Callithrix jacchus: one gene and its partners. The protein of the gene in region 1 interacts with the protein of each later gene in a pairwise test. Links are inferred from orthologs where the notes say so. Each region holds a gene or a part of one and is shown on either strand. Other genes may lie near its edges. The genes, in order: COPS5, MAP2K2 and GFER.

Evidence for each region.
Region 2: the proteins of COPS5 (region 1) and MAP2K2 interact in a two-hybrid assay, tested with the Homo sapiens proteins (2 studies listed by BioGRID and IntAct). The link is inferred for Callithrix jacchus from reciprocal best matches to the Homo sapiens genes COPS5 and MAP2K2.
Region 3: the proteins of COPS5 (region 1) and GFER interact in a two-hybrid assay, tested with the Homo sapiens proteins (2 studies listed by BioGRID). The link is inferred for Callithrix jacchus from reciprocal best matches to the Homo sapiens genes COPS5 and GFER.

The regions. Positions count from the first base shown.
Region 1 is NC_133517.1:22,934,114-22,944,274, reverse strand, and holds part of COPS5 (COP9 signalosome complex subunit 5), read left to right. Parts: 5' UTR 1-28; coding exon 29-171; exon of another isoform or gene 172-258; intron 259-2,580; coding exon 2,581-2,815; intron 2,816-4,844; coding exon 4,845-4,973; intron 4,974-5,620; coding exon 5,621-5,686; intron 5,687-6,373; coding exon 6,374-6,459; intron 6,460-10,161. UniProt on the Homo sapiens protein: Probable protease subunit of the COP9 signalosome complex (CSN), a complex involved in various cellular and developmental processes.
Region 2 is NC_133523.1:3,842,535-3,852,695, forward strand, and holds part of MAP2K2 (dual specificity mitogen-activated protein kinase kinase 2), read right to left. Parts: intron 5,778-10,161; coding exon 5,700-5,777; intron 4,602-5,699; coding exon 4,550-4,601; intron 4,465-4,549; coding exon 4,340-4,464; intron 3,010-4,339; coding exon 2,796-3,009; intron 942-2,795; coding exon 877-941; intron 1-876. UniProt on the Homo sapiens protein: Catalyzes the concomitant phosphorylation of a threonine and a tyrosine residue in a Thr-Glu-Tyr sequence located in MAP kinases. Activates the ERK1 and ERK2 MAP kinases.
Region 3 is NC_133513.1:4,760,385-4,771,111, reverse strand, and holds GFER (FAD-linked sulfhydryl oxidase ALR), read left to right. Parts: upstream 1-5,644; 5' UTR 5,645-5,662; coding exon 5,663-5,923; intron 5,924-6,179; coding exon 6,180-6,376; exon of another isoform or gene 6,377-7,254; coding exon 7,255-7,417; 3' UTR 7,418-8,067; downstream 8,068-10,727. Other genes in the region: NOXO1 (NADPH oxidase organizer 1), read right to left, coding at 1-43, 290-403, 497-678, 868-1,023, 1,169-1,244, 1,447-1,527, 1,622-1,713, 2,532-2,693 and 1 more; uncharacterized protein LOC144578555, read right to left, coding at 9,063-9,106, 10,074-10,123.

The DNA of each region.
Region 1 (10,161 bases):
ATACGACAGCTTCTCCGTTTCCTCGGCGATGGCGGCGTCCGGGAGCGGTATGGCCCAGAAAACCTGGGAATTGGCCAACAACATGCAGGAAGCTCAGAGTATCGATGAAATCTACAAATACGACAAGAAGCAGCAGCAAGAAATCCTGGCGGCGAAGCCCTGGACTAAGGAGTGAGGAGGTCCCTGGCGAGACGCAGGGGAGGGAAGGGGTGGCGGGAGTTTAAGAGACCCGGAGGGAATGGGAGTTGAAAGGGTTCTGAAGAGCTTTCACCGACGGGGAGGGGGACAGAATAGGCGCTTTGGATTTGCAAGTAGAGTCTAAGCCCTCCTCTGGGGCTTTGACTCCCTTTTTTGTCGCTTTAACCCATTTGTCCCCGGATGATGTCAAGGGAGAACAACAAGCGGTGATTTAAATTGTTGCTTCTGAACATTCGTATTGTCATATATGCCCCACACACTGCCTTGAACCCAGTATCGGCATGCACCTTGTTTGGGTCTTCTACCCCAAACTGGGGACTGCAGCTGTTTGCAGAAATCGAGTCAGCAGCCCAAGGTCTCAAAAATAGCTATGAACTATTTTATTTTATATTTTTTAAATAGAGATGGGTCCTCGCTGTGTTGCTCAGGCTGGTCTCTAGCTCCTGGCTTCAAGCGATCCTTTCCCCTTGGCCTTCCAAAGTGGTGGGATTACAAGCATCAGGCCTGGGCCTATAATAGTTTTTCGATTGCTGGTAATTATTTAGGAGACACACGGAGGCTCTACCTGGTCTCTAAAATGTTACTCCACCAGTCCCCATAAACCAAATATTATAAAACTAGAGCTTAAGGCTCTTTGCCCTTTAGCAATATCCATTTTTCCCTGGGAGTGGTGACAAGTCAAGGGATCTTTACCCATATTTTCTTTTTCCTGAGAGCAGTGTTTGGGAGAAAGTAAAAAGAGCACAAAAGCTAATGGATAGATAGAAAGGAGAGATGTGGTCAAAAAGAAGACCTACTTCTACTGCTTCAGTTTTTTTTTTACAGGGCTAGCCTTGCCTTTCAGTACTCAGACGAGATCAGGTGCGTTCAGGGTGTTACGGCCGTAGACGTCTCTCAGTATTCAGATTCCACAGTGGTGAATTGTGGAGGCACCTAGCTAGAGATTTCCACCTCATTTAATCTTGATGACAACCCAGTACAGTATATCTATCCTTTTTTTTACAAATTAAAAGAAAAAACAAGCAAATGCATTATGTAACTTATGGTCACACTGAGATAAGTGAACTCCTAACTGAGCATTAGTCAGACCTAAGATCAAATCTCACACTATCACTAACTAGTTAATTGACCTTAGGAAATTTACTTATCCATCTTCAATTATCGTAACATGTAAATAAGACCTACCTATTGGTGTTGTCATAAAGATGAGATAATGTATAAAAAGAGTCCTCTAAAATATATGTAAGAGGAGCATAGTAATTTGTCTTTCTTCGTTTCTCCAGTAAAGGGAGAAGCCAAGATTTCGATTCATGTTTTGACTTCCAACATGAAGTCTACACATTTTTCAGCTTTCGGTTGAAATCTGGCAAAGCTTAGGAATTAAATTTGGATTCTTTCTGTGGGCAGACATCTAAAAAAACTTTGTAGATACGTTGACTGACTGCTCTCTATGGCTGATTAAGTTGCTTGGTTGTCTTCTTTCTGTAGCAGGCTGCATTTTAGGTTGATGTACTCTTAAATATTTAGAAACAGCCTGCCTCACTGTCTAATTATGACTCTAATTATATTCATCCTAGCTATCTTGGACTGCATCAATGAGACAAAAATGTACTTTTATTCAAGAGTTTAATTTACTGATGACAAATTCTGAAATAGTGATCATAGGAAACTATAATCTTAGAGCTACTTTTTAATTTGAGGCTGACATACAGGGAATCCCACCCTTCAACACACTGTTCTTTGAGAATAGGATTAAAAGACAGGTTAATAATTAATAATGCTAATGACAGCTAGCACTTACTAGGTTTCTAGTATGTGTAAAGCACTAAGCTAAGCACTTTATATACATTTCATTTACTTTATTTCATCATAACAACTACTGTGAATATCCCTATTTACAGAAAAGGAAACCTTGGCACAGATATTACATGGTTGTCCCAATGCCACAGCTAGGGAATGCGGTGTCAAGATTCAAACCTCGGCAGATGAATGTCAGAACTCACATCCTTAACCATTAGGCTAGAGGTTAGGCCTGAAAACAGTTAGGCACGACTATCCAAGCAGTCAGAATCCAAGATTGGGTGATTCTAAATTAATGGAGAAAAAAATTGAACTGGTCCTATTATTCCCTTATTTGAATAGCACATTTTAAAAAACTATTTCACACTTTTCCCCTCCCCCAAGGATGATATGTTACAAGACTATAACATGCTTGTTTCCACCCTGCAGAAATTTTCCTTTTCAACTTTTTCTCCCCATAGTCTACACTCCCCTTCCATCACTGTATATTCCTTCAATACTTACTCTTTATCTTCAGAAATACTTTATTCTGAATTGTGCTTTATATAAGAAATTTAATTGCATCGTGATTTTGTTTTGTAGTCACCATTACTTTAAGTACTGCAAAATCTCAGCATTGGCTCTACTGAAGATGGTGATGCACGCCAGATCAGGAGGCAACTTAGAAGTGATGGGTCTGATGCTAGGAAAGGTGGATGGTGAAACCATGATCATTATGGACAGTTTTGCTTTGCCTGTGGAGGGCACTGAAACCCGAGTAAATGCACAGGCTGCTGCATATGAGTACATGGCCGCATATATAGAAAATGCTAAACAGGTAAAAATGTTGTTTCTTACAATTTATTAATTGCAAATTAGAGTCTCAAGGTGACTTTTGAGTTTTTAGACTTAAAATTATCCCCTTTACATTAAATTTTAATGATTTCTATGTAAAATATATGAGATTAAAAGCCTGATAAGATTTATAGCATGGGGTTTTTTTTATTTGTTTTTTGTGGGGTTTTGTTGTTGTTGTTGTTTTCAAGACAGGGACTTGCTCTGTTGCACAGGCTGGAGTGCAATGGCATGATCTCAGCTCACTGCAGCCTCCGCCTCCTGTGCTCAAGCAATTCTCCAACCTCATCCTCCTGAGTAGCTGGGGTTATAGGTGTGCACTAGCACACTTGGATAATTTTTGTATTTTTAGTAGAGACGGATTTTGCCATGTTGGCCAGGCTAGTCTTGAACTCCTGACCTCAAGTGATCTGCCCACATTGGCCTGCCAAAGTGCTAGGATTACAGGCATGAGGCACCGTGCCCTTCCATAATTTTTGTATATTTATTTTATTTATTTATTTATTTTTGAGACTGAGTCTTGCTCTGCTGCCAGGCTGGAGTGCAGTGGCGCAATCTCGGCTCCCTGCAACCTCCACCTCCTGGGTTCAAGCGATTCTTCTGCCTCAGCCTCCCAAGTAGCTGGGACTACAGGCACATGCCACCACACCCAGCTAATTTTTGTATTTTTAGTAGAGACAGGGTTTCATCATGGCGAGGATGGTCTCGATCTCTTGACCTCATGATCCACCCACCTCCGCCTCCCAAAGTGCTGGGATTACAGGCGTGAGCCACCATGCCCGGCCCAATTTTTGTATTTTTAGTAGAGATAGGTTTTCTCTGTATTGGCCAGTCTGGTCCCGAACTCCTGGCGTCAAGTGATCCACCCACCTCAGCCTCCCAAAGTGCTGGGATTACAGGCATGAGCCACTGCACCCAGTCTGTAGCATGGATTTTATTTATTTTTTTCAAATAAACTCTCACACTTATTATAAAAATTTGGGCTGGGCACAGTGCCTCACACCTGTAATCCTGGTACTTTGGGAGGGCAAGATGGGCAGATCACGAGGTCAGGATTTGGGGACCATCCTGGCCGTGCTGAAACCTCCTCCCTACTGAAAATACAAAAAAATTAGCTGGACATGGTGGCGGGTGCCTATAATCCCAGCTACTTGGGAGTCTGAGGCAGGAGAATCACTTGAACCCAGGAGGTAGAGATTGCAGTGAACCGAGATCATGCCATTGCACTCCACCCTGGTCAACAGGATCGAAAGTCTGTCTCAAAAAACAAACACACACACACAATTAGAAACAACCTAACTCAGTTCCTGAGTGTAAAACTGGTTAAATAAATTATGTATATCCATCAATGGACTGCTAGGCAGCCTTTAAAAGAAATAAAAGGTAACTGAGGCTGGGAACGGTGGCTCATGCCTGTAATCCCAGCACTTTGGGAGGCCAAGATGGGTGGATCTCAAGGTCAGGAGTTCAAGACCAGCTTGACCAACATGGTGAAACCCCGTCTCTACTAAAAATACAAAAAAATGAGCCGGACGTGGTGATATGTACCTGCAATCCCAGCTACTCAGGAGGCTGAGGCAGGAAAATCACTTGAACCTGGGAGGCGGAGGTTGCAGTGAGCCAAGATTGCACCACCACACTCCAGCCTGGGTGACAGGCTTTTTTCTCAGAAAAAAAAGATTACACTCATATATATTGATAACTTACATGGAGCAAACTCCCAAGTTTATTGAGTGAAGAAGCAAAGCGTAAAACACTATTATGTTATGTGGTATGCTATTGTGTGTGTGTATGTTTTTATCAATCTTTATATGTGCAAACAATATTCTGTATGCAAAGAATATATCTGTAAGGGGAAGCAATTGCCTGTAGATTTCACATCTGGGCTGAGAAAACTAAGTAGTTGAGGAGAAAGAGATGGGAAGGATACTGGTTACCCTTATTGTACTAGATAGAACCTTGTAAATTAGTTAAACAGTAATCTTAAACTTTTTTGCCCCTTTATTTGTTAGGTTGGTCGCCTTGAAAATGCAATTGGGTGGTATCATAGCCACCCTGGCTATGGCTGCTGGCTTTCTGGGATTGATGTTAGTACTCAGATGCTCAATCAGCAGTTCCAGGAACCATTTGTAGCAGTGGTGGTAAGAATTTTAAACTAGTTTAATTATGTTCTTTGTGAAGATTTGCTGAAGCAAGTATACTGAGAAATAAGAACAGTGTGGTAAAGAAAAATTGCTCTGGTGTCAGACTGCCTAGGTTTGAATGTGAATTCCATCTCTTAGAAGCTAGGACTTTAAGCAAGTTATTTAACCACTGTGCTTCTCACTTCCCCCACTCTGTAAAATGTGGGTTGTCATAGCATCTATGGCTCAGTGCCAGCTCATCATAGGCATTCAATCAGTGTTGACTGAACTGAGTTAAGTGGGAATTGCTAGAGCAGCTCTTGTTATGCTCAGGGCATTTTAAATGCAATCCAGGTTTCTATGAAAAAGGTAGGAATTATTCACCTATTAAAAGGAAAAAATAAAACTTTAAAAAATAGATGTGCAAACCTTTAAATAACATTCGTAAATGTTTTAATAATGAATTCTGATCTCTAAGTTAACTGTGAGACACTTATATATACCCCCTTACTGAACTTTTATGGTTTTTTTGGTTTGTTTATTCTTATTTGGTTATTGTGTATATATATATATAGTATTATATGTATGTATACATTTATAGGTTTATAATGTTTAAAAGGCATACAGTTTTATATCAGCAAATATTAAATACATCTTTCTTGTAGATTGATCCAACAAGAACGATATCTGCAGGGAAAGTGAATCTTGGCGCCTTTAGGACATACCCAAAGGTAACTCTTTTTTTTTTTTTTTTTTTTAAAGAGAGTCTCACTCTGTTGTCCAGGCTGGAGTGCAGTGGCTATTCACAGGCACGATCATAGTGTATTACAGCCTCCATCTTCTAGGCTCAAGCTATCCTGCCAACTCAGCCTCCCAAATAGCTGGGACTATAGGAAGTCTCTATATTTTTTAAATTCCAAATATTTGACTTATTGTTAAAGACATTAGCAATAGCTCTTTTTGTTAAAACAATTTAATAATATTTATGTCCCTAGCAAAGAGTAATAACATTTATGTTCTATATTGTTAATTTTACTGGGAAAGCAGTCTTTATTTATTAGTAAGTACCTGTGCTCCTGTGGCAATCTGGCAGGTACTAGAAAACAAACTAAATCTGCAGGTCTATTTCATTCCCTGGCAGGAGTCTGCAATCTGAAATAGTTATTAGAACAAAAGTACATCACCTAAGAAGAAGAAAAATAAATCTATGAGCCAAATCCAGCCTACAGCCATCAAACAGGGTGGAGGGAAAAGTAGAAACAGTATTTTTTTTTATTAGAATGCTTATATTAAATGTTTACCTCCCAAAATTGATCCTATATTTATAAAGCTGCATAAAAATCATGATGTTCCCCCATACACACACACACACACACACACACACATATAAATCTTCTGTTTTCTTCATTTTTGTTTAGGGCTACAAACCTCCTGATGAAGGACCTTCTGAGTACCAGACTATCCCACTTAATAAAATAGAAGACTTTGGTGTACACTGCAAACAGTAAGTAATTTAAAAACATATCTGGGCCAGGCACAGTGGCTCACACCTATAATCCCAGCACTTTGGGAGGGCAAGGTGGGCAGATCACGAGGTCAAGAGATTGAGACCATCCTAGCCAACATGGTGAAACCCCGTCTCTCCTAAAAATACAAAAAATTAGCTGGACGTGGGGCCGCGCACCTGTAGTCCCAGTTACTCGGGAGGCTGAGGTAGGAGGATCACTTGAACCCAGGAGGCGGAGGATGCAATGAGCCGAGACCATGCCACTGCACTCTGGCTTGGTGACGGACTGAGACTCTGTCTCAGAAAAAAAATGTTTTCGGCCGGGCACGGTGGCTCAAGCCTGTAATCCCAGCACTTTGGGAGGCCGAGGCGGTGGATCATGAGGTCAAGAGATCAAGACCATCCTGGTCAACATGGTGAAACCCCGTCTCTACTCAAAATACAAAAAATTAGCTGGGCGTGGTGGCACGTGCCTGTAATCCCAGCTACTCGGGAGGCTGAGGCAGGAGAATTGCCTGAACCCAGGAGGCGGAGGTTGCAGTGAGCCGAGATCGCGCCATTGCACTCCAGTCTGGGTAGCAAGAGCGAAACTCCATCTCAAAAAAAAAAAAAAAGATAAAAAGAAAAAAAAATGTTTTCAAAGTTAGCCAGATGATGTGGCATAGTCCTAGTACTAGCAATCAGGAGGCTGAAAGAAACCTTAGATATCAGCTAGTCTAAGCTCATTATTTTACAGATCAGAAAAAAGTCTCAGACAAAATGCATTTTGTGATACCTTTTACAATAATAATAAAAGTATATGAATTTAGGTGAATGTTTGCATTTTTAATTTTTCTCTTTTGCATTTTTTATTAATGTTTCAATCTAGTATGTCATTTGCCTTTCACACAACCTAAACATTTTTTCAATGTACAAGATACTTAGCCTATATAAAATTATAACAAGTGAAAGATGGGTTCAGGGCTAGCTGACACTAGCATGTCTGCAGCCCTCAAAATATATAATTTCCACTGAACAAAGATTCTAATTTTTTAAATATTTGAAAAATTTAAGAAGCCATAGTAAAAAGTTAAAGTTATAAAGTTTAAGAATTCTTACTAAAAATACTGAATTACATACCTTCCCCCCACCCCCAACCTGAGACATAGCCTTGCTCTGTTGTCCAGGCTGCAGTGCAGTGGCGCAATCTTCGTGGCTCACTGCAGCCTCCACCTCCTGGGTTCAAGCAATTCTCCTGCCTCAGCCTCTTGAGTAGCTGGGATTACAGGCACGTGCTACCACAGCCAGCTAATTTTTGTATTTTTAGCAGAGACGGAGTTTCACCATGTTGGCCTGGCTGGTCTAAAATTCCTGACCTCATGATCCACCTGCCTTGGCCTCCCAAAGTGCTGGGATTACAGGTGTGAGCCACCATGCCCAGCCTACATACCTTTTTCAATGGTGAATTTTATGATGTCTGAATTATATCTTAATTTTTTTTTTATGTTAAGCCAGTGGAGACAATTTTCTGTATCTTCTAAATATATCTCACCACTTCTCTTACTATCACATTCACCCAAGCCACTGCCATCTGGAGCCTCAATCAAGCACACTTGCCTTCTGGCAAGTCTTTCTGCTTTTGCCCTTCACTTCTTGTGTGTATGTATGTATGTATGTATGTATGTATGTATGTATTTATTTTTGAGATGGAGTTTTGCTCTTGTTATCCAGACTGGAATGTAATGGTGCGATTCCGGCTCATCACAACCTCTGCCTCCAAGTTCAAGAGATTCTCCTGCCTCGGCCTCCCAAGTAGCTGGGATTACAGACATACACCACCATGCCTGGCTTATTTTGTATTTTTAGTAGAGACTGGGTTTCTCCATGTTGGTCAGGCTGGTCTCAAACTCCCAACCTCAGGTGATCTACCCACCTTGGCCTCCCATAGTGCTGGGATTACAGGCATGATCCACTGTGCATGGCCTGCCCTTCACTTACTAAAGGTCTGTTTTCAGCCAGACTGATTCTGTTAAGATTTAAGTCAGATCATATTCTTCCGTTTCAGAATGACTTCCCATCTCACCAAGAACAAGATCCTTAGTCCTTATCACAGACTACACAGCCTTCTGTGGTCTGGCTCCTACAACCTCTGTGAACTCATCTCTTGTCACTGAACTTTTGCTGATCTTCGATCCAGCCATATTGACTTCCTTATGGTTTGTCAAATGTGCCACCAGGCTCCTGGCTCAGGGCCCTGACACTTGCTGTTCCCTTTGCCTAGAGCGTTCTCCCTTATTTCCATGTGGCTCGCTAACTAAGCATTGAGTATCTGTTTGCAGGGTCATCATAATAGAAAATGTTCATAAGTCACCCTATGGAAAATAACACCTTCTGTTTCCTCTTTCCCTACTTTTTCTTCTTAGCACTTGCAACCATCTGATGTTTTTGCTTCTTTTTTTTTTTTTTTTTTTGACCCCTTTAGAATGTGAACTGCGTATCCTTGCGTTTAAAACAGGGCATGGCACACAGCAGAGTAGGCACCAAAAAAATTACTGCTTAAATGAATAAGTGATTATCTAGTGCCCCCTTTTCTCTATACCACTTATTGTAACTTCAAAGAATACTTTGGCTACCCATGTGCTGCTACTGCACTTATTTTTCTATTTAGAGATTCTTAGAAAATTCTAGAATTTCTAAAATTGAAATTTTAATTATATGTGGTTTTCAGTAATCTCTGACTTATTTCTGTAAATACAATGATCTTTTCTTCCTTTTTGGTTCGTGTTTTTTTATTCGAGGCAGAGTCTCACTAGGTTGCTCAAGGACTACAAGCACACTACCATGCCCAACTAAACAAATATATATTCACATAGAGATTTAGTGTTCATTATTTAATTTGCCCTATTAAAAAGAATTTAAATAATTCCTGTTTGAGAGAATTGCTCCTAAGCCTGGAAACACCTTTGCTGTGATACTTTAATCTTCAGAGGAACTCTCAATTATTTTTTATTTGAGTTATAGTGGTATCAAAGATTTATCCTTTGAAACAAAAAAGATTGAAATGCTTTATGTTTTCTGTATTCGAGCAGATCTACTGTCCCCATTTGTCTATTCTGTTGGTTTATCCTTTCTTTCTTAAATAACATTTTTTTAAAGATCTTGTTGCATACCATGCATTAAATAACTTTCTTTTGGCAAATACCTTCCCTTGCCACTCTGAACTATGAGTCTACCAAAGAGGGGGCAGCTAGTTTTCTAGCTGGGATTATGGAATTACAGGCATGAGCCACCGTGCCCATCCTGATGTCTTTATGTTTTATTTAATTTATTCTGCTTAATTCATTATATTTCTTCATTGCTAAAATTTAATCAGTAAGCATTCTTGCACTTTGGATCTGAGGTGGGTGCATCACTTGAGGTCAGGAGTTCGAGACCAGCCTGGATAACATGGTGAAACCTCATCTCTGCTAAAAGTACAAAAAATTAGCTGGGCATGTTGGCAGATGCCTGTGATCCCAGCTACTCAGGAGCTACACAGGACATTCGCTTGAACCTGGGAGGTAGACGCTGCAGTGAACCCAGATTGCGCCACTGCACTCCAGCCTAAGTGACAGAGCAAGACTCTGGCTGAAGAAAAGCATTCTGTTTTACAAGGGGTACCTATGTGTCTTTATCTTTTGCACCACTAATCTCTGAGTCTGAACCTCTGTCTCTTCTCAT
Region 2 (10,161 bases), on another chromosome or scaffold:
GAGGCCAAGAGTTCAGGACCAACCTGGCCAATGTACCCAGACCCCTCATCTTTAAAATAAAATAAAAAAAAACAGAAAAGAAAATGTTAGGTGCTGTGGCTCATGACTTAATCCCAGCATTTCGGGGGGTGAGTCGGGTGGATCACCTGAGGATGGAGTTTGAGACCAGCCTGACCAACAGGGTAAAACCCTGCCTCTCCTAAAAATACAAAAATTAGGCTGGGCGCAGTGGCTCATGCCTGTAATCCCAGCACTTTGGAAGGCCGAGGTGGGCGGATCACCTGAGGTCAGAAGTTTGAGACCAGCCTGGAGAAACTCTGTCTCTACTAAAAATACAAAATTAGCCGGGCTTGGTGGCACATGCCTGTGATCCCAGCTACTGGGGAGGCTGAGGCAGGAGAATTGCTTGAACCCGGGAGGCGGACGTTGCGGTTAGCCGAGATCATGCCATTGCACTCCAGCCTGGGCAACAAGAGTGAAACTCTGTCTCAAAAAAACCAAAAAATTAGCGGCTGTGGTGGGAATCCCTGCCTGTAATCCCTTAGGAGGGTACAGCTCCTTGGGAGCCTGACACAGGAGGATCACTTGAACCGGGAGGTGAAGGTTCCAGTGAGCCAAGATCAGGCCACTGCCCTTCAGCCTGGGCAACAGAGCGAGACTCCATCTCAAAAAAAAAAAAAAAAAAGCTGGGTGTGGTGGTGTGCCCCTGTAATCCCAGCTGCCCGGGAGGCTGAGACGGGAGGCTCACATGAGCCTGCAAAGTGGAGGTCAGTGAGCAGAGATTGCACCACCACACTCCAGTCAGAGCAACACTCTGCCTTAAAAAACAAACAACAAAAAAAAGAAAAGAGAAGCGAAAGGGCGTGGCGCACAAACCTCATTCACAATATAGTCCAGCAGTTCAAAGATGGCCATGGCAGGTCGGCTGTCCATCCCGTGACCTGCATGGGGACAGAGATGGACGTGAGATGGGCTGGTGGCCACCGTGTATCTGCTGGGGGTTGGGCTCCAAGGGGGCTGATCACCGCCGAGCGCCCCCCTCCCCATGCCAGCTGAAATCGGAGGCCGGTGTGCAGAGGCCGGAGATGAAGCTCCCTGGCCTGTCTCTGGCCTCCATTCCCTGGGACAGCTACTTCTCACCTGAGCCTCTAGTGAATTAAAAAGAAAAAGCCAAAAGGAACATGAACATTTTCTGAGAAGTCACACATTTGGCTCGGTGAGGTTTGCCAGCCATGCCAAAGTCATCACCCCTGCTCCCTGGCGGGCAGGGGGAGGGACGGCGCTGACCGCAGGCAAGGACAGCAGTGTGACCTTGCAAGGAGCTGCCGGTGGTGATGGCGGCAGGCCCCGAACGCCACTCAGAACAGGAGACTGGCTGGGGGTGGCTGACCCCTGTCTGAGAACCAGCCGGCCAGGCCTGGGTTTGGCTGCTGGACTTTCGCCTTCTGCTCCTGTCGCAAAATGGGCAAGCGGGCTGGGGCCATGGGCTGGGGGCGGGGCTGGCAGGCGTGGAAGGGGCCCCGTATACCACCTGGGAGGGGCCGGGGCCAGGCCTGAGGACTAGCACCCGGGGAGTCTCCCTGGGATTAGATCAAGACTTCACAGCAGTCTGGCTGCAGGGGAAGAAGTGGGCTTGCCAGTGCTGTGAAAATCACCTTCTTACAGCCCCAGTGTCCATCCAGGGTGGACGGACCACAAAACGTGGCCCATCTGTGTTACGGCCTCTCAAAAAGAGCCAGGCCATGACACCCCCCATGGCGTGGATTGAGGACACTGCGCTCAGGGAGAGAAGCCACACGTAAAACCCAGAAGGCCACACAGTGTGTGACCCCATTTCTGTGCAATGCCCAGAACAGGCCAGTCCACAGAGGCAGGAAGGGGATGCAGAGTGATGGCGGATGGGGATGGGGCGCTGAGAAGGTTCTGGAATTGGAGATGGTGGGGTGCAGCACTGTGTGAATGGAAACTGCTGAACTGCTCACCTGAAATGAGTGAGTTGTGAGGGGTATGAGCTTTCTAGTTCAGAAATGAGGTTTTAAAACCAACTGTAGTCCTTTGTGGGTCTAACTCACTAACTCTCCCTAATGTCTGACTTAAAAAAGAAAAAAAAAATCACAGGACCCTCCTGTGATTCTGTGCTGGAAATGGGTCCACTCCCCTGCTCCCCCTCAGGTGGTGCAAGTGTCCACTCGGACATGTCTGGCTGGGGACATGAAACTCCTGCTCCAAGGTGCCCACCCTAAGCACTGGATTGTCCTCTGCAAGCCCAGCTGTCCCCAGGGTCTGTGCCCTCCCACCCCCTCCCAGGCTGCATTCCCTCCTGCGTGTGTTGGGGCTGGAGGCAGCAGGCCACCGAGGGACATGCCAAGTCAGCTGTCCACTCTGGGGCTCCCTGGAAGGCTTGGGCCGCACACAGGAGCGTGTGTCACCTGCAGGGTCTGCGCTCTGTGGTGGCCAACGCCTTCTACCTTTGTCTGTTTGAGTGCTTTCAGGAGAAAATGTTGGAAAATGCAAGGGCCCAGGCCCCAGGCGGCAGAACCACGTGCCCAGATCCCTCCAGCTGGCAAGGACAGGTGCAGCTGCCCCGGGCAGAACAGGTCTGGGGTGCTCGCTGCTTCCAGCTCTGTCCCCGGAAACACCAGGACCATCTGAGGACTGCTGACCGCAGTCGGCACTGTCCAGGGGGACAGGTGGTGCAACAGGGGCCAGAGGGGAGGCAGCTGCTTGTCCCGGCACAGCAGGCCCCGAGCAGGGTACTGTCTGTCCAGACCGGAAGTGGCAGACTCAGGCCGTACCGCTCATGGGGCGCCCAGGGGGTCTCGGCCGAGGTGAGATGCTGTGAGGCTCTCCTTCTGCTCCGTCGACCACGGGCCGACCAAAGATGGCCTCCAGCTCCTTGGCGTCAGGCGGGGGGATGGGGTACCTCCCGATGGCCAGCTCCACCAGGGACAGGCCCATGCTCCAGATGTCCGACTGCACGGAGTAGTGCGTGCCCTGCAACCGCTCCGGCTGCAGCAGAGGCGGGAAGAAGACAGCCAGAGGGGCGGGATGGCAGCTGGAACCGGAGGGGGCTGGGTGGCAGGGCAGGCTGGGCCCGTTCCAGGCCCAGTCACCCTGTCCATGGCTAACAACCGCAGCGATGGGGAAGCCTTAGTGATTCCACCTCCCAGCTCACCCACCCGGGGCCGCCGGCAGCTGAAGAGCCTCCAGCCTCAGGCCTGGAGCGGGTGCTGGCCGCAGCTCCCGAAGAGCCCGCCGTGCTCTGTGCTTTCAGAAATGGACAACGGGCCCAGGAAGAAGGGCTCCTTCTCCACGCTGACGTCTCAGACCTGCTCTGAGGCTCAGCTGGGCAGACTGCGGAATCCCCAGTCATTTCCTCAAAGACCCGAGAGTCCAGGCCGGGCGCGGTGGCTCACGCCTGTAATCCCAGCACTTTGAGAGGCCGAGGCAGGAGGATCACCAGGTCAGGAGATCAAGGCCATCCTGGCCAACATGGTGAAACCCCGTTTCTGCTAAAAATACAAAAAATTAGCTGGGCTTAGGTGCCTGTAGTCCCAGCTACTCAGGAGGCTGAGGCAGGAGAATCTCTTGAACCCAGGAGATGGAGGTTGCAGTGAGTCGAGATTACACCACGGCAGCCTGGGCAACAGGGTAAGACTCTGTTTCAAAAAAACAAAAACAAATAAAAAAGAAAAAAAAGAAAGGGGCTGGGTGAGGTGGCTCATGCTTGTAATCCCAGCACTTTAGGAGGGTGAGGCGGGTGGATCATCTGAGGTCAGGAGTTTGAGACCAGCCTGGCCAAATGGTGAAATCCTGTCTCTACTAAAAATACAAACATTAGCCAGGTGTGGTGGCGCGTGTCTGTAGTCCCAGCTGCTTGGGAGGCCAAGGCAGAAGAATTGCTTAAACCCGAGAGGCGGAGGCTCTCGCGCCACTGCACTCCAGCGACACTGCACTGGGCGACAGAGCAAGACTGTCTCAAAAAAAAAAAAGAAACCTGGTAGGCACTGCTAGTGACAAAAAGCTACGAGAGAATTCCAACAGGAAGGGGAAATCTGGCAGCGCGCGGTGGCTCGGTGCTGGTGGGATCCCAGCACTTTGGCAGGCCGAGGCAAGAGGGTCACTTAAGCCGAGGAGTTCATGAGCAGCGTAGGTAATACAGATAAAACATACAGAGCAGGGGAATCCGACAAGCGGGTTCCAGGAGGCACCGGCTTTAGGGAAGCCTTGTGGCAAGTGGGGAGAGTTGATGGGAGGGTGGGTGTGGCTGGGCGGGAACATCCCGGGGCGCCAAGGAGCTGGGCAAGCCTGTGGGAGGCAGGAGAGCTGGGGGACTCACAGCCATGTAGGAGCGTGTCCCCACGAAGGAGTTGGCCATGGAGTCGATGAGCTGCCCGCTCACCCCAAAGTCGCACAGCTTGATCTCCCCTCTGGAGTTCACCAGGATGTTGGAAGGCTTCACATCTGGCAGGGGCAGGCTGCAGGTGAGAGGCGCCTGACAGCTGCCCGCCGGCCCGCGGGGCTCTGGGGTGGGCGGGCTGGGTCTTACCTCGGTGCATGATCTGGTGCTTCTCTCGGAGGTACGCCAAGCCCCGGAGCACCTGCAGGGGAGTGCCGAGGGGGTCACGGGACAAGGCCACCGGGGCCTGACTCCTGAGCAGCCAGAGCTGGAGCAAGGGACCCGAGGCGGGAACCCTGTTTCAGGCTGTGCTGAGCTTGCTGGGGCGGAGCCAGCCAGGGCAGAGACAAGACAATTCGGAGGGCCGTGCCGGTGTGTGCGAGTGAAGCCCGGTTCCCACCCGGCTGTAGGGTGGTGACGCCATTACTGCCTCCGAATCAGACCTCGAGGCTGAGCCCCACAGAAGCTGGGGCAGTGGCCACGGCCTGGGAGTAGACAGGCTGTCGAGTCCGCCCACACCAGCCAGAAGAGCCGCATCTGTCATGCATCTGGGGTCCCAGGGACTGTGCTAAGGGCCCCCAGATGGGGTGGGGTAAGGGTGCCTGGGAAGGGCGCCGTTTCCCCCAGGCCCACCCTGGAAGGAATATCCCGAGAAGTGAAACAAGCAACAGGGGTGGCGCTGACGGCAGTGAAACGCCGCGTCTGGCAGCAGGTGGCCTGCGGCGCACTCCCTCCCTCCCAACACCGCTACAGTCAGGCCAGACTCGCCTGCAATGGGCAAGGCCTAAGCTTCTAGAAGAAACACGTGCAGTCTTCTGAGACCTCAAGGCTCTGCGGAGTGGCTGTGCTGGAGACCCAGCAGCAGAGAAGCCCCCCCCCCGCCCCGCCCTGTGGCTTGGTCAGGTGGCAGTTCTAACAGCAAGCGGGGAGTGTGTCTGGAGGTCCTGGTGTCCCACCTCCCACCCTAGGGTTTCCCCTTCAACAAGTTCCCGTCCCCTGCAACGTGCCAGCCGCCAGCATCCCTCTGCCACGAGGGCAAGAAGGGACCAGCATGGCAAACAGAATGCTAAGAGAGAGGAGGGACCTCACATCTCCATTCGGCAGATGGCGACCTCAGGCCCCAAAAGGGATGTCACTTGTTCAAGCTCCACAGGGGGTGGCTGCAGCCTTGGCCACTGTCTTTCCACAGGGGCCACCCTAACTCCCAGCACACGGTGAGTGGGTCCTGGAAGCCTGGCCGTGCGGGGTGGTCTGCGCAGGGTGTGGGTGGGGTCGCGAGGCGGGTCTGCCAGGGACTGACCGCAATGCTGACTTTCCCCAGGATCTCCTCGGGAATCCTCTTGGCCTCTTTCAGCACCTGGTCCAGGGAGCCGCCATCCTAGAGGGCACAAAGGCAGAGAGTGCAGGCTCTGCACAGGTGGCCGGGAAGCCAGGGAAGCCACGGACGCATCCCCAACTCCAGGTGAGGGGGTGGTCTGCCCCTGACTGGAAGCAGAGGCCAGAGCCCAACTCCGCCCACTGGCCAAGGGCTGGGGGGCTTTCGACAGTTCTGCCTTCAGTCGGCACACCCACCCCCAGAGGTGGGGAAGGAACAGGGCCCAGGGGGCCCCCGCCTGCCGACCCATCCCAGAATCAGTTGCGTAACTCTGACCTCCTGAGGTCGCCGGGGCAGAGGCTCTGCTCCGGGTCCAGCCCGAGTCCTGGCCGGGGCTCAGCCAGCTGTGGGGCCGGCACTCCCTGCAGCCTGCACACTGGGCTTGTGTGAGCGGCATGGGAGGCAGCCGGGCTGGAAACCAGCTTCTGGGGCCTGGGTCCTCTTCCCAGCATGTGAAGGGAAGGGGAACATGAGGGCATGGAGGAGACTTGGGCGCTGCCCCACATAGGAGGAGGCAGCAGGTTAGCGTGTGCCTGTCCAGATGCCCACAGGGCTCCCTAGCTGAGCCCTGCGGCTCCACTTCTGGGCGCCTGCTCTGTGCCTGTCCCTGCCGTCTAGGGTGGAAAGGCCAGGCTAAGTGTGACCGGGTGCCGGTGGGGTGCGTGGACTGCAGGAGGGACCCCAGTGAGGCCAGCCCAGGTGATGGTCACCTCAGCCCCTCCCACAGCCTGTGCTGGGCATCCTGCGGAGAGCCTGGAGACAAGTCTGCCCGGGTGGACTGGTCCCTGGGTGTGGCCCCATATCCAAGTCACAAACAAGGGAACAGAAATTCCCCAAGGCTGCCGGGCAACAAACCTGGGGACCAAAGCCCCTGAACACCAAAACCCCAGGCCCTGGGGCCACCTGAGGTGCCTCCTCAAAGGTAGAGGCTCTGGACACACCTGCCAGGCCACCCCCATGACAGAAGGCGGGGACAAGCCGAGTTTCCACTGCCACATGCCTGGCGTGTGTCTCTTCCGCACTGAGCAGAGAGGAAAGGGGAACTGGGGCTGGAGAGGTGGGCGGGGGGAGCCTAGAGGTGGGCAGGAGGCACCAGGATTTCTCCCCAACGCTGCTCCAGGACTCCCACAGTGCCCAGCCTTCCCAGGGACGGCTTTCATTCACGTGGTGAGGAGGCAGGGGAGAAATCCCAGACTAAGGAACGCCCGGGTCGCTGCTCTCTGGCCACTTCTGCCCGGCTGGGCTCGGAGAGAAAGGCTGAAGGAAGTTCTGGAAAACCCAACATGCTTTGAGGTCTCTCGAGCACACACATGACTCCATCCACCAGCTCCAGACTGAAGACACAGACACAGAGGCTGAGGGGTGGCTGTGGCGGGGCCTCAGACAGCCTAGGACCAGGGCTAGGACCCCGGCGAGCCAGGGCCAGGGGGAAGCTGCTTCTATTCTCGGTTTTTATCAATCAACCTTAAAATAATTATTTTAGGCCGGGTGCGGTGGCTCAAGCCTGTAATCCCAGCACTTTGGGAGGCTGAGGTGGGTAGATCACGAGGTCAAGAGATCGAGACCATCTCGGTCAACATGGTGAAACTCCGTCTCTACTAAAAATACAAAAAATCAGCTGGGCATGGTGGCGCGTGCCTGTAATCCCAGCTACTCGGGAGGCTGAGGCAGGAGAATTGCCTGAACCCAGGAGGCGGAGGTTGCGGTGAGCCGAGATCGCGCCATTGCACTCCAGCCTGGGTAACAAGAGCGAAACTCCGTCTCAAAAAAAAAAAAAGAAAATGTTCTTGTAATTGTAATTTTGTTATGCAGGTAGTATATGAACACATTTGTCTTATAAAAAACTCAAATGTAGGCCGGGTACAGTGGCTGATGCCTGTACTCCCAGTACTCAGGGAGGCTGAAGCGGGCAGATCATCTTAGGTCAGGAGTTCGAGACCAGCCTGGTCAACATAGTGAAACCCCGTTACTACTAAAAAATACAAAAAACTAGCCGGTGTGGTGGCGCGTGCCTGTAATCCCAGCTACTCGGGAGGCTGAGGCAGGAGAATCGCTTGAACCCGGGAGGCGGAGGTCGCAGTGAGCCGAGATTGCGCCACTGCACTCCAGCCTGGGCAACAGAGCGAGACTCCGTCTCAAAAAAAAAAAACAAAACCAAACCCTCAAATGTTGATCAATAACCCAGATCCCCCATCATCACTTCCACTGTTCTCCCCGGAAGTGAGACTCAGAATGCTCAGAGCATCTCGCTCTCTCTTCTTTTCCTTCCTTCCTTTCCTTCTTTCTCTCTGTCTGTCTGTCTCTCTCTTTCTCTCTGACAGGAGTTGTCCAGACTGCAGCACAGTGGTGTGATCTTGGCTCAGTGCAATCTCGACCTCCTGGGTTCAGGTGATCCTCCCACCTCAGCCTCCCAAGTAGCTGGAACTGCAGGTGCACCACCATGTCCCACTGATTTTTTTTTTTTTTTTTGAGACGGAGTTTCGCTCTTGTTGCCCAGGCTGGAGTGCAATGGCGCGATCTCGGCTCACCACAACCTCCGCCTCCTGGGTTCAGGCAATTCTCCTGCCTCAGTCTCCTGAGTAGCTGGGATTACAGGCAGGCACCACCATGCCCAGCTAATTTTTTGTATTTTGAGTAGAGACGGGGTTTCACCATGTTGACCAGGATGGTCTCGATCTCCTGACGTCGTGATCCACCCGCCTCGGCCTCCCAAAGTGCTGGGATTACAGGCGTGAGCCACCGCGCCCGGCCAATTCCCACTGATTTTTTTATAGAGATAGGGGTTCTTCACATTGCCTAGGCTGCTCTCAAACTCTGGGTTCCAAAGGTCCTCCTGCTTCAGCCTCCCAAAGTGCTGGGATTACAGGAGTGAGCCATTCTACCTGGCCCGAAGATCTAGCTGTGCATTTGGAAATACAGACTTTATTTCGTTTTTGAGACCCGGGGCTCACTCTGGTGCCCAGGATGAAGAGCAGTGGCTCAGTCATCGCTCACTGCAGCCTCGACCTACTGGGCTCATGAGATCCTCCCAAAGCACTGGGATTAGAGGTGTGCTTGCAGGCCAGGTGCGGTGGCTCACACCTGTAATCCCAGCACTTTGGAAGGCCAAGCAGATTACCTGAGGTCAGGAGTTCAAAACCAGCCTGGCCAACATGGTGAAATTCCGACTCTACTAAAAATATGAAAATGAGTAGGGTGTGGTAACGCACACCTATAACTGCAGCTACACGAGAGGCTGAGGCAGGAGAATTGCTTGAACCCGGGAGGCGGAGGTTGCAGTGAGCCGAGATTGCACCATTGCGCTCCAGCCTGGGCAAGAGAGCAAGACTCCATCTCAGAAAAAATAAAGGCTTGTTTGCCCAGCCAGAGTTTAAAATAACATCAAAGTGGGCTCACACCTATAATCCCAGCACTCTGGGAGGCTGAGGCAGGAGGGTCACTTGTGGTCAGGAGTTCAAGACCAGCCTGGGCAACATGGAGAGACCCTGTATCTACAAAAATAAGCAAATAAATTAGCTGTGCGTGGTGGCTCATGCCTGTAGTCCCGGCTACTCAGGAGGCTGAGGTGAGAGGACAGCACCAGTGTACTCCAGCCTGGGCAGCGCAGCAAGACCCTGACTTGGAAATACAATAAATCAGTGAGCAGGCTCACGCCATGTTGTTTTCCGCATCTGCCCCTCCCCCACACTAACAGAGGACTTGGGGGATGTTCCCATTCAGTACGCCCTTGTGGATTTCACTTTACCTCTGCAAAGCCGCCAAATGCCATTCTTTAATCTCTCCCTTACTGATGGACATGTGTACTTTCCATGACCGCAGAACAAGGACGGGTATTCTTATTTGACTAGACCCCGAGGAAGGCCAAGGACACCTCTACGAGGCCCGTAAGCCACTGGCTATGTGCTCCCGTCCCGTGATGCCCCGCTGTCCTCTGGGTTCCTGCCCCAAGTTATCCAGTAATAGATTCAGGCCCCAGAGAAGCAGCCAGCCCTGCCGTTCCTAAGCTCCAGTTACCAGCAAGTGATAAATACAGGGCTGGGTGCAGTGGCTCACGCCTGTAATCTCAGCACTTTGGGAGGCTGAGGCAAGCGAATCGTTTGAGCCCAGGAGTTCAAGATCAGCCTGAGCAATATAGTGAGCTCCCATATGTACAAAAACACTTAAAAACTACTCGGGGCCGGGCGCGGTGGCTCACGCGTATAATCCCAGCACTTTGGGAGGCTGAGGCGGGTGGATCACGAGGTGAAGAGATCGAGACCATCCTGGTCAACAAGGTGAAAGCCCGTCTCTACTAAAAAAAAATATAAAATTAGCTGGGCACGGTGGTGCGCGCCTGTAGTCCCAGCTACTCGGGAGGCTGAGGCAGGAGAATTGCTTGAACCGAGAA
Region 3 (10,727 bases), on another chromosome or scaffold:
GCACGGCTGCCCTCGTAGGCGCGGGAAGCACAGAACTGGGGACCTGGGGGTGGATGTTTGGGGTCACCATGGGGCCGTAGAGGACAGGGCCCTCACCCTTCTCCGGATTCTCCTGGCCTGAGTCTGCTGACGCCGGGACTGCCCTAAAACTCAGGGCTTCCTCTAGGTTCAGTGACCAAGCATGGGCTCCTGGGCCCCATCAAGCCGCCCTTCCCGCAGTGCTTCTGACCCAGTTTGCCGCGTGGTCCAGCTGTACTGATGGCATGAGGGGTGGGGATTAGGCACATACCACTGCTCCCTAGGGACGGGCCTCCTTCCCAGCCCTGGCCTGCAGCCACCTCCTCCAAGTAGGGCGCTGGAAACCAAGCTGTCTGCTGGTCCTTGTTCTCCACCAGCCACCAGCCTGTGCACAAGAGGTGGGTGGGGACTCAGATCTTGAGGCTCCCTGGTGTCCAGGGGCAGAGAGGCAAGTCCCTGGGTTCTTGGCGGGCCCTACCTGAGGGGTGCCTCAGCAGCACATCCAGGCTCTCCTGGGCCTGCACCTGGAAAGGCCGGTCCCGTGTGTCCTGAGTGCAGAAGGACTGTAGGCAGCGCAGGCTTTGAGCCTCCAGACTGTGGATGGAGAGGCGGCCGGCAGCACGGGAGAGAGGTGGCTCCGGGTTGGGCAGGATCACCCGGCTGGGAAGAGCAGCCCGCACGGGTGAGAGGTAGGTAGATTCCAAGGTGAAACTAGGCGTGCCACACAACCCCAGCAAGACCGCCAGCCTCCTAGTTTCTGCTGCTCTTCACTGGCTATAACCCCCACCTTAGACCTCCTCCCAGCTCCAAACGCTGCTGCAGGCTGGGAGTTGGGGGCGAGTCAGGTACCTGCCGGGTGGCAGTGCGGGCTCCAGGTCCAGAGGTTGCGGTGCAAAGAAGTCTGTGATCACTGGGCTCCGAGCCACGCGCTCTGCAGTTGCCAGCAGCCTCCGAGAATAGGTTTCCAGCAGCTGCAGGCGTGCCAGGCCGCGGCTCGTGCGCCCCCTGTGTGTCAATAGCGGTGCATCTAAGGACACCACAAAAAACGTACACTGAGACCCCGCTTCGGGCTTCACTGGTCCCTTGAGCCACACCCCCCACCCCCAGTAAGCCACCGCCTTCCCTGTCCCCGGCCCCAGGCTGGCCTGACCGAGAAGCTTTGGGAGAATGCGGTCGGATTTCCGAAGCAGGCCTGCCTCCACCGGAAAGGTCTCCTTGAGGTTCTTCTGAGGGCAAGAACCGGGGCATCAGTCTCCCAGAGCCCACTGTGCACCCTTAGGAGGGTGGGGTCCCTCACCCTGATGGCAAGGGCTGGGAGCCTCAGGCAGGATGAAGGGCCTCCAGTTAGTCACTGACAGGTCTTGCACTGGTAGGCACCCAGGTGGGGAAGCCTCAAGCATGGCGTTAGGGTGGCCCAGGGTCACTCACCTTGAGCCGCCTGAATTCCTCCCAGCTCCTGCACACAAAGGTGTCGCTGCCGTCTGACCATCGCACGGAGAAGGCAAATGTCTAGGGGACGTAAAGTCATGGGTGCCTTGGAGATGCTGACGGAGGCACCCCCTTCCTATGCCTTAGGGCCACTAAAGACGCAGCCAAGTCTTACTTGGAGCCTCTTGATCTGCACCAGAGCCGCCCCTCGCACTGAATCCGGGTATCGGGGGCCTGCCATGGCTGCGGGCTTCAGGCTGCAGAGTCCTGAAATACTGGGTAAGGATTCCTCTGCCTCCCTGTGCTCCAGAGGGCTCTGGGGCACCTAGGAACCTGGCTGCCTGGGACAGAAGCCTGTAGGGTCCTTGTGGGGCTGCCCCAGCTGAGTTCTTTCCAGCTTTCTTGCTGTCTCCCAAGCCCAAGATCTGGGAACGGTAGCACAGGGATTGGGGAACTTCCAGGCAGAGCTGCTAGGAGGAAGAATGAGCGTCCTGGCCCTAGAGGCGTGCAAGACTAAGGGGCAGAGGGTGGGAGGAACTGCTGCCTGGGGCCCTCCTGCCTGACTCTGGCCAAGGGAGGAGGGAGGAGAAGGCGGGGCCCATCAAAATGCCACCAGTCCTGCCCACCTCTCTGGATTCCCCCACCTTGCAAGGTACTTGGCCTGGTATGACCTTCTGCCAGCGTGTGCCCAACAACTGTCTTAGAACTGGCCCGGGGATTTCTGTGCAGAACCGAGGACTCAGTGCTCAAGGCTTTAAGTGCTCTGTCTGGCTTAATCCTAATGCTGGAGGAAAGGCCTCTTCATGTCCCCAGCTCACAGAGGAGGAAATGTGAGCTAAATGTATAATTATTGTGAGTTTTTCTGTATATGTTGGGGGAGGGGCAGACCTCACAGGCTCACCCCAGGGGTTCCCCTGCAGTGAGGAGACTTGGGGTAAGAGAAAGACGGCCCATGTGTATAGTCCCTGGCACTTGAGGGGTGAGGGGTGGTCAGGGAAGTGGTCACCAGGACTGTTTTGAGAGCCACCTCTCAAACAGACCTCCTGCAAACACCGCCTAGTCAGAGGCTTGCCCAGGTGCCACACCTCTCTGGCTGCTTCCTTATAGCTTCAGAAGCCACATTCAACCTCGGTACACAGTGGTTCTTCCTGGTGCTGGAGTCACCAGTTCTGTGTTGGGATGCCCCCACTCCAGCCCCTTCAGGGAGCGGTCGGCCTCTGGGGCATCCCTGCAGCAATCTGCCTTGGCTGCAACAAAGGGCCTTTGTGTGTGTGTCACCAGCACTCTCTGAGGCCCTCCAGTTGTCCCTGGTCTTGGCACGGACTAAGAACACCTGCTCACATAGGGCTGATTTGCAGGGCTCCCCCAGCCAGCTCTCATCTCCTCCCTATCTCAGCTGAGGGCCCCAAGGACCTGGCGGTGAATCAACCCAGGGCAGACTTTGCTCTCCTGGAAGACAGTAGAGAAGCTAGGGAGAATTTATTCACAAGCAGTGGCCTAGAGGAATTCTGAGGCCCCTCCACACCCCAGCTGACACAGCCTGCCCCACACCGCATCGGCCCTGGATCCTTCCCGCTTTTTTTTTTTTTTTTTTTGAGACGGAGTTTCGCTCTTGTTACCCAGGCTGGAGTGCAATGGCGCGATCTCGGCTCACTGCAACCTCCGCCTCCTGGGTTCAGGCAATTCTCCTGCCTCAGCCTCCTGAGTAGCTGGGATTACAGGCACGCGCCACCATGCCCAGCTAATTTTTTGTATTTTTAGTGGAGACGGGGTTTCACCATGTTGACCAGGATGGTCTCGATCTCTTGACCTTGTGATCCACCCGCCTCGGCCTCCCAAAGTGCTGGGATTACAGGCTTGAGCCACCGCGCCCGGCCCCTTCCCGCTTTTTCCTCTCCTACCCTCTTTTCTTACCGGAATGGTACAACCACCCCACCCTCCATCCATATCCTCCTCACTTGTTCCCACAAAATCCACCCCAAGGTCGGGTTTGGTGCCTCTCACCTGTAATCCAAGCACTTTAGGAATCCAAGGCGGGGGAACTGCTTGAGCTCAGGAGACCAGTCTGGGCAACATGGTGAGACCTCCATCTGTACCAAAAAATATATACAAAAATTAGCTGGGTGTGGTGGCACGTGCCAGTAGTCCCAGCTATTTGGGGAGTTGAGGTGGGAAGATCACGAGCCTAAGCAGTCGAGACTGTAGTGAACCATGATTGTGCCATTGCACTCCAGCCTGGGGAACAGAGCAGGACCCTACCAGAAGAAAGAAAAGAGAAAGAAGGAAGGAAGGGGGAAGGAAAGAAAGAAGGGAAGGAAGGAAAAGAAAAGAGAAAAATCCACTCTCTGTAAGAAAGAAAGAAATCTAAAGAAATGCACTCCTTGTATAATAGCCAGAGGAATTTTCAGCAAACTGAAATGGGATCGGATTGGGTGGCCTTGCCCAAAACTGACTGGCATCTTCCCCTCCCTTGGAATAAATTCCCAATCCCCGCAGCTGCTGACCAGGTCCTTGATGGGCCCACTGGCCTTTTTTGTTCCTGCAAAACGCCAAGACCCTGCCACCTTGAGCTTGGTCTTTTTTTTTTTTTTTTTGAGACGGAGTTTCGCTCGTTACCCAGGCTGAAGTGCAATGGCGTGACCTCGGCTCACCGCAAACTCCGCCTTCTGGGTTCAAGCAATTCTCCTGCCTCAGCCTCCCGAGTAGCTGGGACGACAGGCGTGCGCCACCAGGCCCAGCTAATGAGCTTGGTCTTAAAGGCGCTCCTCAGCTGATTCCTCATCCTTCAGGCCTCTGCCCAAGGGTCACCACCTCAAGGAGGCCTTCCAGATTTACCCCACCCTTGCACGGCCCCACCAGTTTGTACGGGAACATTCACGAGCGTGACTCGTTTTCCCCCCCCGCCCCCCCATCTTGACCACTGAATTATGAACAGAGGAGATCAGGCAGCAGAGCTCTGTTCCCTGCACTGCCCAGCGCCTGGAACAGCGCCTGGAGCAGAGAGGCCACTGCACAAATAATAGCGTAAAGGACGAATGAAAGCAAGGAGGCAGAGGAATCCCAGAGGTGGCTCCAACTGGGAGCCCGACCCCTCATTCGGGCCGTGGGACCGGCGGCAGCTGGGGGCGCGCCGAGAGCCAGAGGCTCTCAAACCCTCGGCAGCCGCGCCCCGTCCCGCGTTGCCAGGCGCCCGTTGCCATGGCGCCGGGGCGAGGCCGCGAGCCCAGCACTCTGTGCGGTCACGCCGGCCCCGCATTGCCAGGGTTCCCAGCACCCGGCGGGTGGACGCGCCCCTCAGCGGAGGGCACAGCGTGGCCGCGGACACGCAGGACGCTCAGAACGGAGCGATGGGGGCGTCGCGGGTCGCGACACGTACTTCGTCTGGGCCTCAGCCCAGGTCCACAGCATGGCCGCGGCGCACCTTCCGCCACACTCTGCTGTTCTACCCGAGGAGGCGAGAGCGCCGCCACGGACTGCGCAAACCCGCCGCGGGTCGCGGAGCGCCCGGATGCTCCAGCTCCGTCCCCTCCCAGGTCGGCGCCGCGGTCTGTGGCTCCGCCTCCACCCGGGTCCGCTGGCCGGCCCCCGCCCCCAGCCCTCGCTCAGGCCCGGCCCCCGCCTCCGACCCCGCCCCCAGCCCTCGTTCGGGCCCGGCCCCCGCCTCCGACTCCGCCCCCAGCCCTCGCTCAGGCCCGGCCCCCGCCTCCGACCCCGCCCCCAGCCCTCGCTCAGGCCCGGCCCCCGCCTCCGACTCCGCCCCCAGCCCTCGCTCGGGCCCGGCCCCCGCCCCCAGCCCTCGCTCGGGCCCGGCCCCCGCCTCCGACTCCGCCCCAGCCCTCGCTCAGGCCCGGCCCCCGCCTCCGACTCCGCCCCCAGCCCTCGCTCGGGCCCGGCCCCCGCCTCCGACCCCGCCCCCAGCCCTCGCTCAGGCCCGGCCCCCGCCTCCGACCCCGCCCCCAGCCCTCGCTCGGGCCCGGCCCCCGCCTCCGACCCCGCCCCCAGCCCTCGCTCGGGCCCGGCCCCCGCCTCCGACCCCGCCCCCAGCCCTCGCTCGGGCCCGGCCCCCGCCTCCGACTCCGCCCCCAGCCCTCGCTCGGGCCCGGCCCCCTCGAGCACGGCGCGCGCCTCCCGCTGGTATTTTCGCACGCTGGCCTGGAGGCCGACCTGGAGGCTCATCTGGAGGCCGAGCTAGCCCGGCAGACCTTGCGCGGGCAACATGGCGGCGCCCGGCGAGCGGGGCCGCTTCTATAGCGGGAACTACTTCTTCTTGCCCGGTGGCGCGCGCTCCGAAGTGATAGACGACCTGGCTACCGACGCACGGGGCCGGGGAGCGGGGCGGAGAGACGCGGCTGAGAGGTCAGCCCCGACGCCAGCCCAGGCGCCGACCTCCGAGTCTCAGGTCACCGAGGACGTCTCCCGGAGGCGGCCTTGCCGGGCCTGCGTGGACTTCAAGACGTGGATGCGGACGCAGCAGAAGGTGCAGATCCCTGCCCGACCTCCCCCAACCCCGCGCAGCCCCCGCCCAGGTGCCCCGGCAGAGCTCCCCAGGGTTGCCTTTCCCTGAACCTTGTCCCCCAGTTAGGTCCGGCCCTACAGGCATCATCTGCGTTTGGGCTGGATCGTCTGCAGGACGCTGGCCGGAGTCCACTGGGCCACCGGCTGGGCCGTGCAAGGGGGGAGCTTTGGGCGCTTCTGTTCGGAGAATGAACTCACTCTCGGTCGGCCTTCCGCAGCAGGACAGCAAATTTAGGGAGGACTGCCCGCCGGATCGCGAGGAACTGGGCCGCCACAGCTGGGCTGTCCTCCACACCCTGGCCGCCTACTACCCCGACCTGCCCACCCCAGAACAGCAGCAAGACATGGCCCAGTTCATACATTTATTTTCCAAGTTTTATCCCTGTGAGGAGTGTGCTGAAGACCTAAGGAAAAGGTAAGATGCGTTGGCAGGCATCAGAGCTTTACCCTGGAGCCTGGGCCTGGGGCTCCTGACTGACGCTATACCGGGGAACCTAGAGAAACCTGCAGAGGTGGCAGAAGCTTGCTGGGGAGCAGGGACCACCAACAGGTGAGGACAGAGGCTATCTGAGCCTCCTCCTCTTGTCTGAGGCCAAGCTGCCAGGATTTGCTGCTGGGAACTGCTCTCCCACGGCCACAGGTCTCCCAGGAAGGGCCTCCCTGCCTTGTTTGGCACCAAAGGCAGCTCCCCGCAGGTTAGGGAGGACTCCACTTTGCCTGACTTCTAGACTGCTGTTTTAAAATCTTGGAAACCCACTACTTTTGCTCCCAAGAGCCACCTCTTCCTCACTGAGGCATCCAAGAGCCAGAACTGGCCCTTGCAGGTGTTTCTAGGCCAGATGTGTGGGGCAGAGCTGCCATTGTAGCTTTCAGCCTGGGCAGTCAGAATGAGGTCTCTTGCTGACTGAGGCATCAGAGCCTCAGGTCCTAAGAATCAAGTCCAGTTTTCAGTTACAAGGCTGTGTCCAGCCCCACCCAGTTCACACTCTGCCTGGGGCCAGGGACACTAGATGCCGCCTCCTGGGTGTTAGGAGCTTGTAAAATTGCTAGGTCTGTGCTGTAATATTTTTCTTTGAGGCCCTGTCGGTGTTTCAGCAGCCCTGGGAATTTGCCACACCCAAGGAGCTGAAGGGTCAGGCCTGTTGTGGGAATTCCCATCCCTTGGAGCATGAGGGCACTCCGAGGTGAAGCCCAGAGCAGTGGCCCAGCTCTCCGTCCTTGGGAGCAGACAGAGCTGGCAGGGGTAGTGGAGCCGCTGCGTCCTCCCATTCTTCACATGCTCTCCCTACGCAGGCTGTGCAGGAACCAGCCAGACACCCGCACCCGGGCATGCTTCACGCAGTGGCTGTGCCACCTGCACAATGAGGTGAACCGCAAGCTGGGCAAGCCTGACTTTGACTGCTCAAAAGTGGATGAGCGCTGGCGTGACGGCTGGAAGGATGGCTCCTGTGACTAGAGGCTGGTCAGCCAGAGCCCATGGGACAGCCAGCCAGTGCCCTTGCAGTAGCCTGGCTGCATAGGGGCAGGGCACTCATTAAAGTGCATCAGGCTCAGAGCCTGTTATGTCTCAGTTGAGTGGTCCCAGGACACTGCCCGGGGGGCCCTGCCCCTCTCAGGTTTGGAACAGAGAGGCACCCACAGCAGGCACCTGCTGGCCGCCTCTTCAGTAGAGCCCCCAAGGAGCAGCAGCTGAACTGCAGGTGAGCGAGGCCGGAGGAGCCTGGGCTGCTCCTTGCCATTCAGGATGTGGCTTCCTGCTCTCCCCATGCCCTGGTGCCTCACTTCTCACACAGGAAGACTGGGCCTGGCTGGGCGACCCCATGCCTGTCCCTGGAGCCCAGGCCATTGCCTACCCACTGTGCAGCCAGGGATGCCCGCAGGCCCCTGCCCCCCATGGCTCTGTGCTGCTCACTTCATGGGCTGAACTCTCCACTGTGCTCAGTCCCTACAGGAAAGCTCAGGTGGGGTTTGTCTGAGGGTCCACCATCCTGCCCACTCCCTGCCTGGCTCATGCCTGCCAGCGTTGTGCCATGCCTGTCCACAGGGGATTTGTGCTGTCCCCTTCTTCAAAGTTTGAGGTCCAAATAAAACATTGAAGTGACTGAGGACCTTGGCTTTGTGTGCTTTGTGCTAGGGCCTGTAGCAGTGCACGGGGCCTGCTCTGTCCTTCTGTGTTCAGCTGCATTTCCTGCTGGGGTCCTGGTTCCTCAGGAGGAAAGGGAGGAACCCCAAGGTGAGAGAGGGCCGGGAACAGCAAGGACGCTGGTTGGTTGGGGAAGTGGGGGCCAGAATCAATGATACGGGGGTTCGAGGAGTACAGGGAGGCCAGACAGCATGAGGCCTCCCAGGCCCCAGAAAGGCCATGGCTTTTACCCCCAGCTCTTGTGACAGTAGGTTCTTGGCGGGTTTGGAGCCAGGGTATGGCAGGAAGTGATGTGGCTTTGAAGGGTCCTCTGGCTGCTGAGCTGGGATGAGGCAGGCAAGGGTGGAGCAGGGAGGCTGGCGAGGAAGCTGGAGCAATCACTGAGTGACCCCAGAGAGCAGACTTACCTCATGTTGGGGCTGACGTGGGGTCCACCGAGGGGAGAGTCTGAGAATGCTCAGGTGAGGATGGAGTCCTCAGAGACTGCTGGGCACAGCTGTGTGTGCTGGAGACAGAAAAGGCTATGAGTGCAGTGAGTAGGGGGTGACGGGGACCAGCTTTTGGGCCTCCCCAGCCAGAGCAGCCCAGCAACAGTGTCTCTTGTGGCTTAAAGCTCTAGGGACCTCTATCCTGAGGCCTGTGTGGAGGGAGCTGCCATATCACCCACCAGATTGGTCCTGCGGGGTTGCTGGCTTCTGTAGAGACTGCCCCGGGGGCCAAGTGGCACAAATGAGAGAAAGGAGATGGGGCTCTGCCAGGAGAGAAAGTGCCCTTTCCTCACCCAGACTCAGTGCTTCTCTCTGGCCTTTTTCGAGGCCTATGAGTGCCTCAGGAACAAGCCGGGTCCTCTGGTGAGGCTGTGGTCAGCTCAGGAACGCACTGCCTGTATCTGCTGTCCTTCCTAGCTGCCTTACTTTTCCCCTGTCTTTCTTGAAGTTTCACTCCCAAATAAAACTCTTCACTTTGACTCAGAGGCTGTTGAGGGCATCCAGGCCAGTGGAACTGAAATTCAAGGAAAGGTTCTAGCTCAAGCTAGTGTTCCAGAGCTGTTGACACACAGACCAGAAGAGTCAGCACAGAGGGAGGAGAGACCCCCCCCCAACCACCACCAGGGTCAAGCCCTGGGCTCCTAAGGCTCACAGGTTACAGAGGAGAGGCCCATGAGGTAGGAGGAGCACCAGGAGGGAGGAGGATCTCCAGGTGGGGTGCAATGGCTCACATCTGTAATCCCAGCACTTTGGAAAGCCAAGGTGGGCAGGTCACTTAAGGTCAGGAGTTAGAGCACAGCCTGGCAAAACCAAAATTAAAAATATTTTTTAAAATTAGCCAGGCACGGTGGCATGCCTGTAATCCCAGCCACTCCAGAGGCTGAGGCAGAAGCATCACTTGAGCCTCTGAGGCAAAGGTTGTGCAGTCTTGAGCCAAGATTGAGCCACTGCACTCCAGCCTGGGTGACAGTGCAACTCTGTCTCAAAAGAAAAACTGAGCTGACAGCAGCATCAGACTTGCCCTTGGGATTGGCACGGAGAGGTCAGTGGCAGCCTTGAGTTTAGGTGGTGGTGGGAGCTGATTCTGCCGGGTCTCAGAGGGAGAGAGGAGGGGTGGTGCAGGCAGAGAATAGAAGACTCAAGCTTGCTGCTCATAACTGCGGGCAGCTGGAGGGGAGGGAGGTGGGGTCAATAGTGTGGCTTTTTAGGAGAAAGTGTAGCATGTCTGCGTGCTGATGTAAAAAGGAAAATGAATGACAGAGGGGAGGCCTGGGGCCAGTGGGTGAGACAGTCGGGATCAGACGCACAGTAGATGGATTTGAAATCCAGTGAGTGGCGCCTCTGGCAACAGCTGCTCTGCCCGACTGTGCCCAGCCTGACTGAAGAAAGAGCTCCACACCAGAACCAATGGGCTCCAGGGGGGCTGGGCAAGGCGGCACCATGTACACCAGGTTGTCGTAGCAGGCAGGTGGGCTGTTTACCTGTCTGAAGAACAGGGTGGTAACAGACTCTGCCTCCACAGGTGACGCACCTGGTGGTGTAAATGCTCAGTCAGTGCAGACATCTCAATGCTCTAGACAGAAACCTAAGAGTCATCTGAACTTCCAGCCCAGCAGGAACATGAGGGGAGGGACCCTGTTGCACCCAGGGCTGGGGTCTGGAGGGGACCCAGCAGGGCACAGGACAGCCAGGCACTGACCCCATCCAACTGCTGGTCTCTGATGCCTCTCCCTGCCCTCGATTCCAGACTAGGTGCTGCAAGTGCCCTAGGGAGACCCAGAAGTAGGGAGGGCATTGGGAGCGCCAGCACCTGGCCACGGGCAAGGAGCAGACACATAAAAACCAACACTCTCATTGGCGATGGCCACGGTGGTCCTCCTCATCCCTCAACAGGTGCTCCTGGGGTGGAGGCCTTTCTTGCCACCAGACTCTCCCAGCCCAAGGCTAGAACCTGCTGAAGGACCAGCTAGAGCACTGTGGGGGGCCATGGGAAAGATCCCAGTTGCCCATCTGGTCTTCCTGGGACCAGGGCCAGGGAGCCAGTCCCCTCTCCCGACGGTTGGGAGAAGATGCTGGAGCCCGTGGACCTCCTACTCCTTCATTTTCTCACCCAAGGGCCCTTCGCAGAGGAGCGG